Linked DNA regions of Cricetulus griseus. The protein of the gene in region 1 binds, or shares a complex with, the protein of each later gene. Links are inferred from orthologs where the notes say so. Each region holds a gene or a part of one and is shown in the gene's direction. Other genes may lie near its edges.

What was found.
Region 2: the proteins of Sptlc2 (region 1) and serine palmitoyltransferase small subunit A are in contact, whole or in part, in a cryo-EM structure (PDB 7K0K), measured with the Homo sapiens proteins. The link is inferred for Cricetulus griseus from reciprocal best matches to the Homo sapiens genes SPTLC2 and SPTSSA. Residues at the interface, in NP_004854.1 of Homo sapiens: Leu73, Gly77, Val80, Leu81, Phe84, Leu87, Arg88, Leu91, Leu126, Arg129, Ile130, Tyr156, Met475, Pro476, Ala477, Lys478, Gly480, Ala481, Arg484, Glu485, Asp533, Leu534, Leu535, Gln536; in NP_612145.2 of Homo sapiens: Trp15, Tyr18, Gln19, Leu21, Leu22, Val23, Thr24, Ala25, Tyr27, Met28, Leu29, Glu30, Pro31, Trp32, Glu33, Val36, Phe37.
Region 3: the proteins of Sptlc2 (region 1) and Ormdl3 are in contact, whole or in part, in a cryo-EM structure (PDB 7K0O), measured with the Homo sapiens proteins. The link is inferred for Cricetulus griseus from reciprocal best matches to the Homo sapiens genes SPTLC2 and ORMDL3. Residues at the interface, in NP_004854.1 of Homo sapiens: Glu65, Thr66, Pro67, Met68, Ala71, Val72, Tyr75, Tyr86, Gln116, Phe118, Glu119, Asn120, Phe121, Tyr122, Tyr127, Trp134, Asp259, Glu260, Leu261, Asn262, Val267, Arg271, Ile279, Met320, Val495, Val496, Gly497, Phe498, Pro499, Ala500; in NP_001307730.1 of Homo sapiens: Met1, Asn2, Val3, Gly4, Thr5, Ala6, His7, Ser8, Pro12, Val16, Ser19, Arg20, Gly21, Ile22, Leu24, Ser25, Leu28, Phe63, Val67, Lys68, Gly69, Thr70, Pro71, Phe72, Glu73, Pro75, Gln77, Arg81.

Annotation. Positions count from the first base shown.
Region 1 is NC_048598.1:116,491,095-116,494,163, forward strand, and holds the end of Sptlc2 (serine palmitoyltransferase 2), read left to right. Parts: intron 1-2,185; coding exon 2,186-2,305; 3' UTR 2,306-2,545; downstream 2,546-3,069. UniProt on the Homo sapiens protein: Component of the serine palmitoyltransferase multisubunit enzyme (SPT) that catalyzes the initial and rate-limiting step in sphingolipid biosynthesis by condensing L-serine and activated acyl-CoA (most commonly palmitoyl-CoA) to form long-chain bases.
Region 2 is NC_048598.1:147,641,244-147,645,659, forward strand, and holds the start of serine palmitoyltransferase small subunit A, read left to right. Parts: upstream 1-1,556; 5' UTR 1,557-1,635; coding exon 1,636-1,747; intron 1,748-4,416. UniProt on the Homo sapiens protein: Component of the serine palmitoyltransferase multisubunit enzyme (SPT) that catalyzes the initial and rate-limiting step in sphingolipid biosynthesis by condensing L-serine and activated acyl-CoA (most commonly palmitoyl-CoA) to form long-chain bases.
Region 3 is NC_048600.1:111,717,327-111,720,828, reverse strand, and holds the end of Ormdl3 (ORM1-like protein 3), read left to right. Parts: intron 1-66; exon of another isoform or gene 67-71; 5' UTR 72-91; coding exon 92-265; intron 266-899; coding exon 900-1,051; intron 1,052-1,349; coding exon 1,350-1,485; 3' UTR 1,486-2,903; downstream 2,904-3,502. UniProt on the Homo sapiens protein: Plays an essential role in the homeostatic regulation of sphingolipid de novo biosynthesis by modulating the activity of the serine palmitoyltransferase (SPT) in response to ceramide levels.

The DNA of each region.
Region 1 (3,069 bases):
TGTCAGGAAATAGATTGGTGGTTGTGAGAGCTTAGAGGAAAGCAGGGATGCAGAGCAATAAATGTACTGAGTATGGGAGTCATGGGAATTAATTGGGAGACAGAGGCCAGCCTGGTCTACGGAGTCAGTTCCAAGGCAGACAGGGCTACACAGAGATCTGTCTCAAAAAGCTAAAAAAAAAAAGAGGAGGAGGAAAAAAGCAAAAGGAAACTCTCTACAAGCAGTGAAGTGATGAAAGTTGTGCCATGATGGGATTATACTAGAAGCACTGAATTGTGTCCAGTAAAAAGTTGGGGTTTGGCCGGGCGTTGGTGGCGCACGCCTTTAATCCCAGCACTTGGGAGGCAGAGGCAGGCGGATCTCTGTGAGTTCGAGGCCAGCCTGGTCTCCAGAGCAAGTGCCAGGATAGGCTCCAAAGCTACACAGAGAAACCCTGTCTCGAAAAACCAAAAAAAAAAAAAAAAAAAAAAAAAAAAAAAAAAAAAAAGTTGAGGTTTGTGGAATGTGGGTCATTTTTCAGTAAAGTCATCTTTCCACATAATGGGAAGAATAACAGTATCCGCTGTGGGAGGGCAGTTGTACTAGCACTGTCCTCACTCAGCCTGGGCTGGATATGTCTTTCTCTAGGAACTCGTCTTATGCCTTGTGCCAGAGGTCACTATAATTATTTGCTAATAGATATTACCATATAATGGTTCTTTGCTCCTAATCTAACCAAATAACCTCATTTAAGGGCCAGCAGTTTCTGTTACAAATTTGGTTTTTTATGTAGACAAAACTTGTGTGGGGCTCTGAGTGGTGGTATATGCTCATAGTCCTGGGTTCCCAGAAGTCTGAGATAGAAAGATCACTTGAGCTCAAGAGCCCCAGATCATCTTGGGAAGTTTATTGAGATCCCATATCACATAACAAATGAAAAAATAGAATCAAAAACCTTGTGTGAAATACTAGATATGGGAACAAGACTCTTACTTTTATCCCCTTGGGCACTGAGAGTTTGTTTCTGCTCACTTCGTGTTTCTAACCACTTTCTTCTTCACACTGATGAAAAAACACTAGGTGTTCCTGGAGTCAGGGCTCATAAATATCTTTTCCTCTGTGTTCTAAGTCATGTACACCTTTGTTTTAAATGTATAAGTCCTCTACCAGTCAAGGAGATAAATGGCTAATGGTTTCTCCCATCTGAAGTTCAGAGTTAACTGTCTGTGTGGAGTCTTCAGTTAAGCCTGGCCTCCAAGGCCCCGCTGTTCTGATAGCACAGTGAAGCTCAGCTCTTATTCTTTATTTATATTCTTCACATTTTGGAATAAAAAAACATGCAAACTGACCTTTATGCTGGTAAGCAGTTCTAAAATGCATATTTTCTTTTAAAATATTTTTTATAATTTTTTTATTGTGCTTTTGAGTGTGGGTGTGGTTTCAAACATGCCATGACTTGCATATGGAGCTCAAAGTGCAAGTTGCAAGAGTTGGTCCTTTCCACTGTGGGTCCTAGGGATTGATCTCAGGTTGTGAGGCTTTGTGGAAGGCGCCTTTACCTGCTGAGCCACTCACTGGCCCAAAGTGTGCATTTTCATACAGAATTATAGCTCTAATCCTGACAGGAAGCCTATTCCCTTTCCTCCTGAGCACCTTACACAGATAAGAATTGCAGCCTTTGTAGCGCATGCTTGGGTGCTCATGGCCATCTTGATGACCAGGCCTGAGCTCTTGTTCAGATGCTACCACACACACACGCACGCACGCACGCACGTGTGCTCTGGAGACCAGACTGGCCTCGAACACCCAGAGATCCGCCTGCCTCCTGTCTCCCGAGTGCTGGCGTGTGCCACCAACTCCTGGCCAGATGCTACTCTTGCTTCAGCTGTGTACAGTCTTTCCTGCATACTTGAATTAACTGTATCCCTCTAAGATGACCTTGCCACTAGCCAGTGGCATTGGTGGCTCATGCCTTTAATCCCAGCACTCAAGAGATGGAGGCAGGCGAATCTCTGTGAGTTTGAAGCCAGCCCGATCTACAGAGCGAGTTCCAGGACAGGCTCCAAGCAACACAGAGAAACCCTGTCTCAAAAAACAAAACAAAACAAAAAAAAGATGCCCTTGCCACTGTTGTTTGGGTCCAGCAAAGTGTTGGGCATGCTTGCATCCTGCTCATCCTGACTGAGCACTGTTGTGTGTGTTTTAGGCTTTAAAGGAGATAGATGAAGTTGGAGACCTGCTGCAGCTGAAGTACTCACGCCGTCGGCTGGTGCCTCTGTTGGACAGGCCCTTTGATGAGACTACCTATGAGGAGACAGAAGACTGAGCCTTTTTGGTGCTCCCTAGAGGAGGAAACTCCCTCCCAGGACAGTGTGTGGCCTTTCTGAGCCAGTTCCAGAACCACACTTCAGTGACCACCTCATGTGAAAGACATTTCCGAAGCTACTGAAGGTGGACACCTCCACTCCAAATGGCATTTTGTAAATAGTAAAAAAAGAAACAAACTGCTTCACATTCTTCCATTGTTTGCTAAGTCTCACCTTTATATAATATATATATATATATATAAATGATTACTTTGTCCATTAAAAAATGTTTTATTTTATAACTATTCTACTTGTGAAATCACACTGACCCTTGCCTGTGGCTTACCACACAGGCATTCCCTACTCCAGTCACCTCCTGGGCTTGGATCCATCAAGACTTAACCTGGCCCTGGCGCTCCAGCCTTGAGACTCACTGGCCCTCTCCCTAGGGAGCAAGTGCCTTCTGCTAACTTCTTGTCCAGGTCTCAGAGGTCGCCCCCCCCCCCCAATAACCCTTATTTAACCAGTCAAGTTAATCAACCAAAGCATTCTATCTTTAGTCTTAAATGTTAACAATGCCAGGAGGTTTATTATGTGACTCCCCCTGGCCAAGGACCTCCCTAGACTTCTCTTAATCTTCATTGTTGTTCTGGTCACCAAATAGTTTATTTATTCATTTTCTTCATATGGTCACAGACTGAAGATGTGTCCCAAGTTTGGGTTCTTACCCCATCTAGCCCTAATGCTTCCGACCTCCACAGTTATGACAGTCTCTAGCTGCTTC
Region 2 (4,416 bases), about 31 Mb from region 1:
ACATTGCTGTTCACCACTGAAGGAAGTCAGGACAGGAACTCAACAGGGCAAGATCCTGGAAGCACGAGCTGATGCAGAGGCCATGGAGGGGTGCTGCTTACTACTTTGTGTCCCATGACTGGCTTAGTCTATCTTCTTATAGAACCTAGGACCACCAGCCCAGAGACGACACCACAGGCAATGTGCTGGACCCTCCCCGGTTGATCACTAATTGAGAAAATGCCTTAAAGCTGGATCTCATGGAAGCATTTCCTCAACTGAGGCTCCTTCCTCTCTGATGACTCTAGCTTGTATCAAGTGGACATACAAAACCATCCAGTACAGTTCCTTAGTCCTGGAATCAAACACTAGACTTTCATGTAGAGGTATTATTTTTCTGTGAAACATCTATCACCCATGTTTCTTCTATTAGTACTTCTCCAGCAGTTAGCTCAAGAACTATTTCCCAGAAACCTTTACCCTTCCAATCTAATACAGAGAACACAGATATCCTTTAATCACACTTCACTGTAGTCTACCTGCCTGCCTTCTCTAGCAGTACTAAGTATTTTATGGATAGATTTAAGTCTATTACTGTTTTTAAGGTCTTTGCTCATAAAGAACACTTGGTATTTTTAAGTTAATAGTTGTCAGACTTCAAAGTTTTAAAGCTTAAAGCAGCAGGCTCAAAACTTTTAAACATGTAAATTGCAGATCATTTAATTATGTCATTTCATATGCAGACAGTGCATGGACTTCCAGAAGAGTGGAATACAACTGGTATTGTTGCTGGTAGAAAAATCTTAGGAGTGCATCTCTAGGAGACAGCTCCCACACTGACCTCAAGCTGTCTGAAGAACCCACTACATTAAGTTCTTAAGTTCACTTCCCTTGATCCTGATCTACTTGGCTGTTTCTTAAGTGCAGCCACCAAAAATGGGCAGCTGTTTATGGTCAGTTCTCTTGTCTTTAGGTTAAGGAGTACTTGGGGGGCGGTTACAAGGCCTAGATAGGTGTGTTTTCATGCATGTGCCTGGGTGAAGAGAAGAACTGATGTACCTGTCACTTTTACAGTTTGCAATACCTCCTTGGCTGGGTGACATTTGGTAACCACGTTCTCTTTGATCCTTCATTTTCTCAGTCCAAGGACACTTTATTTGCATGCCTGACTCCATGGTTGCATTCTTACCCAGCCTTGTAACCCCCTGGCCCAGAGGCAGAAGAGAGATATTCTACACACTTGTTCCTAAAGGAAGAAACCCTTCTGGGCTGGTCTGAAGGAACCTGGTTCGAAAGGGCATGCCCTCGACTGGACACCAGTGGACACCGAAACCGGTCTCGCAACCGCCATGCGGGCGCGTGGGGATGCAGAACAGGCGCTTAAACCCAGACCGTTTCCTCCGGCTGGAGAGCGCACCGGGGGCGAGGCACGGGGCGGGGCGCGAGCACCGAGGTGGCTTCCTGACCAATAAGCGCCGGTCAGGCGGGACCGGCGGTGGCCGCTCGGGGTGCGCGCGGGGCTGGGCGTACACGGTGACGCGCGGAGCCAGCAGGGCCAATGGGCGCAGGGTGGTGGCGGGCGGGCCCCGAGGCCTGGGGCTTTAGGAGGTGAGCGGGCCGCCGGCCGGCCTGACGCTGCTGCATCGCGGGAGGCGCATGGCGGGCATGGGGCTGGCGCGGGCCTGGAAGCAGATGTCCTGGTTCTACTACCAGTACCTGCTGGTCACGGCGCTCTACATGCTGGAACCCTGGGAGCGGACCGTGTTCAGTATCCTGTGTTGCCTGGCCTGGCCGGGGCTTGGAGGGGCACGCGCGCTGGGGGGTGGGGGTGGAGTGGGGCGGGGGTCTTAGGGCCAGGGGAGGTGAAACCGCGGAGATCCGGGTGTAGGGCGCAATTCCCCTGCCCAAGGTGGTGGCATCCTGATTTCTGCAGGCCGTCCGGAGGGCGACGTCTCCCCTGGTGCTTCCTGCCCCGCTTCGGCCGCGCCTGCCTTTTGCTTCAGTCCCCTGGTAGGAGGCAGGGATGATGCTGGTTGAGCAAATCGCTCCAGGCTTGGGCGTCTTTGACCCTTTAGCTATTCCTGATTTGATTGGCTTTGGAGCTACAGAACTCTAACCAGTTCACCAGGTTGTGAGGACGTGGTCGTGACACTCTCATACAGTTTTGGAAAGCAGTTTATAAGTTCCTGGCAGGCCTTTTTGATCTTCAAGATGGCAGTTTAGAAAGTGGGATTTATTTATGATTTCTTTGCATCGTAAATACAAACTGTGCCCGGGACAGATTTGTGGTTAGTTGTAGGTGGGGTTTCAACCTGTGCTTTGTTGTGTAGTTTATAAATAAGAACTGTTGAGTGACGACTTTGCTGAGCATTTCGTGTATACCTTACCTCACCTAATTTTGACAGCCCCAATGAACAGCTCAAGGTTGTGATGTCTGGGATGTTTGTTGGCTCCCAATGTCTATTTTGATATCCTCTGATATTATTCCTGTGGACTAAATACTAACAATGCATTCTTTCTTTCTTCCAGTCCCCTCTCCTTAATAAAATCTGAATTATTTCACATCACGTGTTCATTTCGTCAAGGCTCAGCTTTCTGATGTGGTTTAGCTTCCTTAGGAACAACTTCACACATGCACTGTTGCATTCTGATGACTGAGGTAGCGCTGGCTCTGCCTTTTATCAAGGGTGCCGGTGTTGAAGTAGCATGAAGTTGTTTGGAGCTGACTCTTGAAAAATTTTAGCTGCTTGCAAGACATTTTATTACCATTGGTATTTCTTTTCTAACCTAGAATTTAATAACCAGAATGCATATTTGGGGGTTTGGAATATAAAGTTGCTGATTTTCTGTATTGTGTGTTTTGTAGCTTTAGTTCTGTCTCTGGATTTTGTAGGTCAGGTAAAATGTACATTTAAATACATGTTTTATTGGAGCTTCTCAATAGTAGCAGGTAATCTTGACTGGAAATTAAACAATGTCAAAATAACAATAATGAAAGCCTAATGTGGTGGTTCATAACTGATTGCAACGTTCAAGAGGGTTGCTGGGAGTTCAAGGCAGCCTGGGCTACATAATACATAGCCAAGGACCAGGCAAACCAGGGTTACATAGCAAAACTCAAAGGAAGGAAGGAAGGAAAGAAAGAAAAGAAAGAAAGAAAAGAAAAGAAAATGGGGTAAAGTTTGAAACTCTTTAAGTCAGAGGTTGATGGTAAAGCTTAGTGTGGACATGTATACGTCAAAACATTTGTTGGTTTATGGATAAATACTACAGTGGCAACAATATTAAGATTTTTCTGTGCTATGTTTTAGTAGAAATAGTGTCCTGTTTTGAAGACAGAGAAATTATGAAGGGAAACCTCAGTAGATTTTGGTTTTGGTGTTTTTGACTAATTGGATCTAGCTATGCATCCAAGCTTGTGTTTGGCCAAGCTATGTGGCCAAACTTGCCTCAAACTCAAAGTCATCCTCCTCTCTTAGCCTTTTGAGTGCTGGTATGGTGTGGGCCACCATGTTTGCTGTTGTGTATTTTCTGCTGTTACCTTTGGATTTTCCTTCTGCAGGAATGGATGCTCTTTCCTAGTACCAGGGAGGGCTAACTGGATGAAACAGAATCTTAGTGAACCCTGTCTCCAAAAACAGCAGCTGTAGCAACAGCATCATTATTCGAGATCACATAGTGTAGTGGTCTTCAGACAGTTGGTGTATGTAACCCTTCAAAGGAAAAAAAGGTGGATGATGGATTCCCTTGCTCATTTATGTTGACATAGGAGTCTTGTAGATAGCTAGAAAGAATTTATTTATACATATATTTTAATACTTTTGTTAAAATTGTTTTAACAAAAATTATTTTTTGTTACTTTTTTAACTGTATACTTTTGTTAAAATGATTTTCTTACAATTCATAGAAAATGTTCATTGCATAACTGCAAAACCAGACTGCACGGTGAAGCCAATAGGAAAAAAAAAATCAGCTTTAATTTCTATCAGAAAAAAAAAGCTGCCTTTTTTTTTTTTTCCTTCTGTTCAAATTATTGTGTCCATAGCTAGATGCAGTGGTGCATGCCTGCAGTCCTAGAACTAGGGGAGGTAGCTAACCGCAGGAGCATCAGAACTTCAGGGCTAGCTTCAGCTACATGGTGAGTTTGAAGCTAGCCTTGGCTTCATAAAACCCTGTCCCCCCCAAACCACAAAACCAAACCAACCAAAAAACATTGTGTTAAAATAAACACTCCTGTTTTCCTTTGGGTGAGTAAATAGATGGCTTGGGGTTGTGCCAGATGTCTGTTATCTGAATGAAAGTAAAACCTAAGTTATTATCCCTTCTTTGCTGTGTTAGAGGTTCTATGTGTGGAGTCATGCCCCCTCCTCTCCCCAAGTGTTCTCTCTTGAGATTGAAGTAGGTGGGAGGGTATGAGGAGGGGGATGGGAAGACTAG
Region 3 (3,502 bases), on another chromosome or scaffold:
GGGGCTCAGGGTGTGAGGGGCAGGGAAAGTGGTGTGACCTGTCTCACCTGTGTTGCTTGTTTGCAGAGCAGCAGTCAAGAGGGGTGGCAGGATGAATGTGGGCACGGCACACAGTGAGGTGAACCCCAACACACGGGTGATGAACAGCCGCGGCATCTGGCTCTCGTATGTGCTGGCCATCGGACTCCTGCATGTCGTGCTGCTCAGCATCCCCTTTGTGAGCGTCCCTGTCGTCTGGACCCTCACCAACCTTATCCACAACTTGGTAAGAGCCTGCTTACTGCCAGTCTCCGACCATATGGGCTGTTGTGTGCCAGAGCTGAGAGATAGGAGGAGCTTGACCTGGGACAGACAGCAGGTCCTGACAATGTCGCCTGAGCCAAGGCCGGGCTCTTATCTTGGCCTTGCTCCCCCTTGTGGGCTGTAGCGTACCTACAAGAATCAAATCTGCACCTTGCCTGTGTCTCCAGGATGGGCTTGCTGCTGGTTACATTTGCGCCACCTGAGAGCTTAGAGCTGAGAGCTGAGGCCTTGCTGAGGTTCTCCTGAACCTCTGTGCTCCCTAAAACCTGCTTCCTTATACCCCACTTTTGAGCAGACAGGGTAGTCCTCCTTCCTTGGCTTGCTCCTTTTAGCTGACATGCAGAGACCCTAGTTGGGCTGGAGGGCAGCCATGTTTGCCCATTGTGTAGCTAACTCCTCCCCTTATGCGGTCCCCATGTCCTTCCACCATGTGGGCTCCTGGGCGCTCTTTTGTATATTGAGACTGCCTGCTTGCGCCAATGCAGCAGAGGAAGGTGGCAGTCCACCTGGAGCTGTTTCTGTGTGTGACAGGTTGGGAAGCCAGGCTGGGAGTCGACTTGCCTTTTGTATTTTCTGATGAAGGTCTTTCCTTTCAGGGCATGTACATCTTCCTGCACACGGTGAAAGGGACACCCTTCGAGACTCCAGACCAGGGCAAAGCCAGGTTGCTGACCCACTGGGAGCAGATGGACTATGGAGTCCAGTTCACAGCCTCTAGGAAATTCTTGACCATCACCCCGATTGTGCTGTGAGTGCTTTGGCTGTGGGAGACGCCAGCAGGTGTGGTAAAGCCAGGGGCTCAGCTAGGCTCCAACTCTCCCCAACTTTGGCCCTTGGTTTAGAGATGAGCAGAGGGAAGGAAGGAAGGGGCATACCTTGGGTCTCACCCTGGCCCCTGGGTCTTTCTGGCCGACTTTCCCCAACTCTGTGCAGGAGACAGGCCCATAGGCCTGGGGTAAGCTGGGGGTAGGTAAGGAGTGAGACTTGTCGCTCCACTTCTTAGTTGGGACCCTTATTTTCCTATCTTCTTGCCTTCCCCGGCCCAGGTACTTCCTCACCAGCTTCTACACCAAGTATGACCAAGTCCATTTCATACTCAACACTGTGTCCTTGATGAGTGTGCTCATCCCCAAGCTGCCCCAGCTCCATGGAGTCCGGATTTTTGGAATCAATAAGTACTGAGGTTGTAGCCCCTTCCTCAGCCAGGTTGGCAGGGGAAGGGTAGAAGGCCTTTGCTGTGATGCTGAAGACAGGAGCCTCTGGACACTCACTGCCAGAGATGGGGGTGTGCCCTGGGCCTGGCTTCCCCCTCGCTTCCCCAGTAGCCGACTTGGAGTAGCTTGTAGTGGGGTTAGGGTGGGGCCCTTGGGCTCTAACCCATTCTGAAGTTTTTGATCTTTTCCTTTTGCCTTTTGAGTAGAGATGCCGTGGGGGTGGTCATGAAAGGGGCTGGGCTTTCCGGCTGACTGTGGACCTCAGAAGTTGGGACAGGAAGCCAGGAAAAACCCCTGTTGGCTTGTTTACCCTCAGGCAGCCATAGCACTTTAGCCCCTGAGAGGGGCAGAGGGACGGTACGGCTTCTGCATCGTCTCCCCCTCAGTCTTTGAGTGTGTGGGGTGAGACTCACTTTTGTATGTATTGGAAACACACGTGCTGCGCTGTCTCTCCCCTCTATGTAGAGCAGTCAGGCTCGTTGACTTCCTTGCAACCCACCCTGGGTGAGCTATGGGGTAGGAGGAAGATTGGGAAAGGAAGATGGGGTTGGGGAACACCTGGTGTAGAGGTGGGGCCAGGATGCTGCTGCCCTGGTCCAGGGGAGAGGGGAGCTGTGAGCAGGGGGAGGGTGGGGTCTTAGGATGGTCAAGATAGCAGCAGCTGATGTGAATCAGTGTGAAAAAGAGGATCTGGGGAGGAGCCAGATCCAGCCTCCTCTGGGATGTGGGCTGGAAGGAGAGCTGGCTTGGAGGGTTAATTTACCCACAGAATGATGGTGGGGAAGGGTGGGGAAGGAGGGAGTTTGAAGCTCCTGGCTTGGTGTGAGGGCGTGCACAGGCTGAAATAGGCCTGTGAGTCCTCAGAAGCACAGGTCCAATCGGACACTTCCCTTAGCTGTGTCTGAGGGAAACTTCCCTGGGTAGCTCTTCCTCAACCCTTCAACCTGTATTCTCATGTAGATTGTGCCCGGGCAGTGCCTCTTGTGTGGCCAAGAGGCCCCCTCCATGTGAGGTCAGTGGGCTCCACAGTGCTATAGGATCCCTGCCCAAACAGGGCACTAGTAGGGACAGCTGCAGGCACTGTCTCCTCAGCCCGAAGAGAGGTGGCTCACAGAGTCTGACTAAGCTGAAGAGGGGCTGTCTTCTCCCCTCGCTGGTTTGGTTCGACTGGGGCATGTTCCTTTGGAAGGGTGTGGGTGCCTGAGCTCTCCAGGGGATGGAGGGAAGTCACTCACCCTGTTTCCTTCCCCTGACCCTCATTCTCAACCCCATGTATCATAGGGAACTTTCACCTTGTGGTCTTTCTAAGCAAAGTGTGAATAGGATTTTTACTCCCTTTGTACAGTATTCTGGAAAATGCAAATAAAGTACAACACGTTCTGTTAACCACGTGTCTCTCCGCATCCTTTTGATGTTCTGTTAACCATGTGTCTGTCTGCACCCTTTTGGCCTGGGGAGGGAGGGGTGGTGGTGTGGGGACTCTGGGGCGGCCCAGGGGAAAAGCCAAAGTGGATGTGGGGAAGCTGGTGAGAGCCTTGCTGAGTTGCAGCTAATCCCCATAATCCCCGCTGCCTGTGCCTCACCTGCTCTTCCTCTGATTGGGTCTGAGCCTCTGACTTCGTAGGCCTGGCTGGGGGGATTGGGAGTGGGGTTTGGTGGCCAGGAAGGTCAGTCCAGACATGGCCTATAAATGGAGTGGGGTGGGGGTTGCTACTGGTGCTCTGGCATGGCCCATTCTGGCTTCTCACCTCAGCCATTCCCAGTGGGTTTCTGTTAGGGAGGCTGCCTTTCCCCCTCTCACTGCTGTGATGAGAGGGAGGGAAGAGGGGTCCTCAGGGCTTCTTGCTAGCTCAGCTGGGAGAGGGAGGAACCCTTATCTCCCGAGGACACTGGCCTCTCAGATTGTTCTGTGTAGTCTTATCTGCTGCTCCCTGGCCAGGTACAAAGTTCAGGCAGGCAGAGGAAGGAGCTCCCTTCCCAGCAGC